Saccharomyces cerevisiae S288C: one gene and its partner. Changing the gene in region 2 together with the main gene of any one other region gives a genetic interaction. Each region holds a gene or a part of one and is shown on either strand. Other genes may lie near its edges.

Region 1 (4,023 bases), on a different chromosome or scaffold from region 2:
GTGAAATCATCATTATGATAAACGAGACGGATGAAAGGAGAAAAAACTGAAAAGAAAAAAAGGGCGGATTGACAATTCAAGAAAAAGGCAAAAAGTAAAGGAAGGTAACATCACTTGATATCGCACCCTTCTTTGCATTGCCTTGTGGTTACCGTACCACTCTTGCTTATGATTTTTTTTTCTTTTTGCGCGCGCTAGGCTGAAATGTAGAGGTTCAAGGTATGATAACAGCGGACAAAGGTATATGATGTCGCGCATTTGATGCCTTAAATACAATTTTTTTTTTTCCCTCCTCCGTCGAAAAAACGCTGTGAAGAATAAAAAAAAATTGTATTTTGTATTACCCGGATTTACTTTAGTCTCACATTGTATTGTTAGGGTTTTGCTACTTATGGTAAAACTGCCGCTAAAAAAATATTCATTTCTATCCTAATTGTATTTTTATTATGTAGAGCAAAGCTTGCGCGAAATTATTGGCTTTTTTTTTTTTTTAATTAATACTACCTTTTGATGTGAACGTTTACTAAAGTAGCACTATCTGTGGAATGGCTGTTGGAACTTTTTCCGATTAACAGCTTGTATTCCAAGTCCTGACATTCCAGTTGTAAGTTTTCCAACTTGTGATTCAATTGTTCAATCTCTTGGTTAAAATTCTCTTGTTCCATGAATAGGCTCTTTTTCCAGTCTCGAAATTTTGAAATTTCTCTGTTGGACAGCTCGTTGAATTTTTTCTTAGCTTCTAATTGTCTAGTTATAAATTCAGGATCCCATTCTGTAGCCACCTTATCCATGACCGTTTTATTAATTATTTCATAGCACTTGTAATTTTTGAGTTTGTTTTCCTCGATTTCATCGAAGTTCATTTCTTCCTCCAAAAATTTCCTTTGTTCTTCCGTTATGTCAACACTTTTCGTTGTTAAGCAATCTCTGGCCTTTAATAGCCTAGTTCTTAGCATTTCAGATCTGCATTTTTCATAATAATCCTCGGTACTTTCTACAAGATCAATTAAATTCCAATCAAAAATCGTCTTTTGCAAGATTTTGAAGTCACAGTACTTTTCATTTTCAATGTCAACAGCGCCCCATTTGTATTGTCTTCCTTTAACTTTTTCGCCCTTTTCATTAAAAATGTACTCATTAGATGCAATTATACTGAATGGATATTTTTGAAAAATATCTTGTGTTGCATTCAAAACTTCATCGCCGAAAAAGAAACATACAGGGATATCTTGTACTCTTATTATTTCTCTAACTTGTGTTTTGAAGTTTTTCAATTCCTCTTTCGTTAGCAAATCTGATTTAGCAATAACCGGGATTAAATTCACTCTCTTCGCTAATTTTTTCATTGTTACGACGTCTAAAGTATCAATTCCCTTATTTGAAGGTCTCAGAAAGTACAAACAACAATGGACTCTATTATCAACCATTTTTGTCCTATCAGGTTGTTCTTCTTGGAAAATGTACGATCTTATTTCTTCATCAATATAGTTAACCATTGTCCTCCACGTAAATGCATTATCCATATTGTTACCAAAACCAGGTGTATCGATGACGTTGAAATTAAGGTGTGTTCCATCTCCTTCTACAATGCTTTTATAACGAATAATAGGTTTGTTTTCTTTGATGTCATCATCAATTAAAGAAGTAGAAAATAAGGAATTGATAAACGTGGTTTTACCCAATCCACTTTGACCCGCCACCATCAGCGTAAAATCAATTCCATTTTTGGCATTCAACAACTCACGTTGACGTGGTAAGTTTTTGATACCGATGTCTTGGCCGTGTGAATTGGTGTTTATTTCTTGTGCTTTCTTGTTATCTAACAATGGAAGGTCCCTGTTCCTGCATTTACCGTTAACAAAAGAGGATGACCTCTGTCTTCTGTGTTTCAGTTCAGGGCTTTTCGGAGGATGTGAATCGACGGCGTACTGTCCTTGGGAACTTTGTCTACGTATTTTCACTTCCTCAGCGAATCCAGAGACTATCTTGGGAAATTCGACAGGACAGTCTGTTGACAACCGACTCCCTTTTGACTTCATAATAAAAATTCAATGACGCAAAAGGAATTTTAGGTTTTTATTATTTATTTATTTATTTCTGTTAATTGATCCTTTTCTTTCCACTACCAACAACAAAAAAGGGGGGAAAAAGATGTATAATCTAAAAGACACTAATCTGCTCTTGATATCCTTATTATGTAATGGAATAACTCATATAAATGTAAAATAGAACTTCAAATTAATATTATAATGATAGTCGAGGTCAGACACACTTATAATACATTAAGTAAAGAAAAAAAAATGTCTGTCATCGAGGTCTCTTTTGTGTCGCTAACAAAACATCACTAAATACGAAGACACTTTGCATGGGAAGGATGCAGCAAATGGCAAACTAACGGGCCATTGATTGGTTTACCTCTTCTATTTGTATTACGACCAGAAAGAACGAATGGTTTTCATCAATGAGGTAGGAAACGACCTAAATATAATGTAGCATCGATAAAATCTTTGTACTGTATGGTTGCAATGCCTTCTTGATTAGTATCGAATTTCCTGAATAATTTTGTTAATCTCATTAGCCAAACTAACGCCTCAACGAATTTATCAAACTTTAGTTCTTTTCCTGTTCCATTTCTGTTTATAAACTCAGCATATTGGTCAAATGTTTTCTCGCTAACTTCAAAAGGTATTAGATATCCTAGTTCTTGAAGTGAGTTATGAAATTCGCTTACAGAAATGGTGAGCGATCCGTTGATATCATTGTCCACATAAACTTTTCTCCAACTTTTCACTCTTTTGTATAGGGCGATGAATTCTGCCTGGTTGACAGTGCCAAACCTGGAAGCACCAAATAAATTTATCAGCGCATCTACTGATGATATACAAAAATGGGAGTTGTCGTCGTTTTGTAGTAAGTTCTGTAGTTCCTCAGCTGTCAGTCGGTTTTTGCCCTTTACATCATGGTTATGAAATAGCTGTGTGGCCACTTGCATGTCTCGTACATCTTCTCTGCTATCGAACGAAGCAGGTGCAACTTTCTTCAAGAGTTGTGCAGGCACTGCTTGATTGTGAATTAGGGGAGGAGGAGAGGAAGCTATCCGTTGAGCGGAAGTGTTCAAGTTGTTATAATGGGTTGGCGCTGGAGGTATAGGCCTGCCTGCTGGTTTCTGTGCGATAACATTATATCTAGGATCCACAGGTGTTTTCGTATGTCTTGGAGAATAACTTTGGGGAGAACCATAGGAGTGGTGACCGTTTTCTGCTCTGTTTTTGTTATATTGAGTTTGTAAGGGAATTGGAGCTGAGTGGACTCTAGTGTTGGGAGTTTGTGCTTGAGTAACCTTTATTTGTTGCTGTCGTTGTTTCTCTTTCTCGAATTCACGTCTAGTTTCCTCCATGGCCTCTTTAGGTGTAGCATAGCGTACAAAGTCATCGCCAGCAGCGTATTTGAGCTTCTTTGCACACATCGTTTAATGGTGTAGGTTTATAGTTATTTTATGCGGTATACGGTATACATACATGTTCAGTGAAATAGCAATTCCCATCGCTTTGTATTCCTGCGGTTTTTTTATTCGGATAGTTTCTAAATAAAAAAAATCGACAAGACCCTGAGCCAGATGACTGAAATTATCAGTTGTTAAAAGCGATGGAGCACTATCCAATATGCGTATTGTTTTCTTCTTCTGAGTTATGTATATAATGGTGAACTACAAGATTATATAGATTCAGGTGCAAGGTATTGAGCATGACACATGCTGTGTGTATCGTGGCCTATTCACTGTGGCCTATTTCATTCCACTTCCACTGAATATCATTTCAAATGTATTAAAAGACTTTTGAAAGTAACACTGATAGTATGTTGTAGTTGTTCTTGGAAATGTTGAACCAAACCGATTGTTCATTCGCCAAGTTCGAAGATGCCGTTTTCGTACTTGCCAGAAAAAACACGCTTGAAAAAGAAAATCTTGAGTAAAAAGAAAAGGGCTTAGGAATCTTCTATTCGATGACCATCAAACGATAAATG
Region 2 (3,228 bases):
TTCTGCCATGGGAGTAGCCATGTTTCTGATATCATAAATTGCGCAAGTACCATTTTGAAATACCGTCGCAAATTGCAAGTCGTTTTCGGAAAAAGAGTTATAAAACCCATGGTCTGAATTTGGAGCTTCATATATGTTTTCGATATATTCTGATTCATCAGGTAACGCAAACCGTGGTATCCGTCTAACACGATTGACAGAACTACCCCAGGAAGGATGATTATCGTAATGTAAGGAGAATTGGTTGGTTAATTCATTTTGATTGTAAACAGCAAATTTATTAGAATCGCCAGACACTACCATCGTTTGACCATCATGTGACAAAGAAGCGTTATTCAAAGGAAATTTTAAATCCGCATAACGCTTCACTAGTGTTACATCTCTATTACTTACATCGCATTGGTAAAGATGACCATCATTGTTGCATGCAAAAAGATCAAACTGCATACTGGCCCTGTCATAAAGTGTGACACAATTATTGATGAACTGGCCCAACGTAAAAGTCATCATTGTGTCCGTTTCTTGATTATAAAACTCCACGATGCCCTTCCAGATATTAGGATTTGAATAATGTGAATTTATAGGGAAACTAATATTTTTGGAAATATTAATCGGTTGGGAAGGTGGCGGCAACGAAATATTTGCATCTTGAGCTAAACGGTTCCAATTAGAAGGGAATCCCTTATCATCAGAACCGATTAGACCACCACAAACAGTCAACCCATTTAATTCCGTGAAACATCTCGGCTTAAAGTTGAACTCTACCAGTTTCTCGGAAGGAACATGTAAATTTTTGGAGATATACGAGCCCGTTGTCCTAGAACCTTTTGTAGACGTTTTTTCAGTAGAGTTTTTACCACTGTTACTCGGTTGAATAGAATTATGTCGCCTTACTGGAGACCTCAATACGGAAGAATCCGTATCTAGTACTCTTATCGAATGATCGTAAATATAATACAGTTTACTCTGGTTCATGGAGCCTGGTTTGATACAATCCCGCAACTGCCAATGGTTTATGGAGACCTTGGCATCGTAGAGTTCTAAAGCAGGCATCATATAGTTTTGGTAAACCTTATCAGAGCCAGTATTTAACCGTTCATCTTGCAGCGCCTCCTTAGATTGCCCCGTGCCATCAATGGTCATTCTTTAACACGTATACTTTTGTAACTTATTGCTGTTTTTCTACCACTTTATTCGATCTTACTTGTCGTTGCTTAATCAGCAAAAGTTTTGTACTAGAATAAAGTTGTAATAGGCTTTTAATCCAGAGTCTCCTCCTCCTCACTTTCTGATCATCACCCCTTATTGCCTCAGAAAAGAGATCATACTCCGCTTTAAAGCCGTTCAATGTCACGTGACACAAAGTTGTAGCCGTATAACATATGGCGCTACCATGTTGTTATTTAGACGGGTAACATCACCGTTTAGAAAGATAAAGGAAAGTGAAATTATTGGAATGGAAAGTGTTCCCAAAAGTTCGCACCAACGCAAAAAGAAATTTTTTTTTCAATTTTGATATCATCGTTGCGTAGAGGAAGCCCTAACTGAGTAGAGAAATTATATGGTATTTTCCTTGTAATATTTGATTTTGAGTCGATATCCCCTTTGTTCTTCTTCCTTCCTTCGCTTGTTTTAGTTGTATACTTGGTTTATTGTGGAAGATTTTTTTTTCTGCTTCGTAGTTTTAAATTAGAAGTTATTTCTTTGCAAATTTCTCTTCCCCCCACAGTATTCTTTTAGAGGTGAAGTAGAAATAAACCAAGAAAGCATACACATTTTATTCTCAATGTCCAACCCATTTGATTTGTTAGGTAACGACGTCGAAGACGCTGACGTTGTCGTTTTGCCACCAAAGGAAATCGTCAAGAGCAACACTTCCTCCAAGAAGGCTGACGTCCCACCTCCATCCGCTGACCCATCCAAGGCTAGAAAGAACAGACCAAGACCTTCTGGTAACGAGGGTGCTATCAGAGACAAGACCGCTGGTAGAAGAAACAACAGATCAAAGGATGTCACTGACTCTGCCACCACCAAGAAGTCCAACACCAGAAGGGCCACTGACCGCCACTCTAGAACTGGTAAGACTGACACCAAGAAGAAGGTTAACCAAGGTTGGGGTGATGACAAGAAGGAATTGAGTGCTGAAAAGGAAGCTCAAGCCGATGCTGCTGCTGAAATTGCTGAAGACGCTGCAGAAGCTGAAGACGCTGGTAAGCCAAAGACCGCTCAATTGTCTTTGCAAGACTACTTGAACCAACAAGCTAACAACCAGTTCAACAAGGTCCCAGAAGCTAAGAAGGTTGAATTAGACGCTGAAAGAATTGAAACTGCTGAAAAGGAAGCTTACGTTCCAGCAACCAAGGTCAAGAACGTCAAATCTAAGCAATTGAAGACCAAGGAGTACTTGGAATTTGATGCCACTTTTGTTGAATCTAACACTAGAAAGAACTTCGGTGACAGAAACAACAACAGCAGAAACAACTTCAACAACCGTCGTGGTGGTAGAGGCGCTAGAAAGGGTAACAACACTGCTAACGCTACTAACTCTGCTAACACCGTTCAAAAGAACCGTAACATTGACGTTTCTAACTTGCCATCTTTGGCTTAAGCCTTATATATGAATAATTCCAACTGAAAGAATCCAATAACAGTGTTCTACTTTCTGTTTCTATTACTATTATTATTTTAATTGGTTATTTACTATATAATTTGCAAGTGAAGATGATCATGCTGGCAAACCAAAGAATAAAATTGGGTTGACATCCAATCGAGAATATGACATATCATTTTGTTTTATTTAAGCAATAAAAAATAAATGACTTTTAATTTACTTTTCAATTTTCTTTTTTTTTTTTTCACTTCTGAGATGTGCAAGCGTGTAGTTTGTTTGTATTTGTATAACAATTTCATCATTAGTCATTCTTCATTAAAAACTTTTTGTTATCGATTAAGGACATCCAGTATGATTCTTTTTCTCTCATCTTGATTATCTCTTGAGAGTATTGTTAGGCAACGCATTATACCACAGTTTTTTTTACCAAAGCGAGCGGCACTCCAGCAGGTGCTTCATGTAGTATTCAGGTATCACATCGCTATATTTTAAGTTTCTGTCGCCGTTGATCATTCCTATCTCCCATTCACTTCTTCCGTTCGGTTGCATCTGATTACCATAGTCATGTAGTCCAACTATCAAATCTTCGTGCCCTAGTTCTCCTTTTAACTTTTCGT

The links.
Region 1: mutations in STM1 (region 2) and SPR3 together harm fitness more than expected from each alone (negative genetic interaction), as found in Saccharomyces cerevisiae (2 studies listed by BioGRID).

What each region holds. Positions count from the first base shown.
Region 1 is NC_001139.9:605,579-609,601, reverse strand, and holds SPR3 (septin SPR3), read right to left. Parts: upstream 2,040-4,023; coding exon 501-2,039; downstream 1-500. Other genes in the region: PEF1 (Pef1p), read right to left, coding at 2,459-3,466. UniProt on the Saccharomyces cerevisiae protein: Septins are GTPases involved in cytokinesis that assemble into filaments and form a ring at the cleavage site. May act by recruiting MYO1 and HOF1, a protein involved in septation, to the site of cleavage.
Region 2 is NC_001144.5:438,681-441,908, forward strand, and holds STM1 (Stm1p), read left to right. Parts: upstream 1-1,786; coding exon 1,787-2,608; downstream 2,609-3,228. Other genes in the region: GID11 (Gid11p), read right to left, coding at 1-1,143; PCD1 (8-oxo-dGTP diphosphatase), read right to left, coding at 3,035-3,228. UniProt on the Saccharomyces cerevisiae protein: Ribosome preservation factor that protect a small pool of nontranslating, vacant ribosomes in cells under nutrient starvation conditions.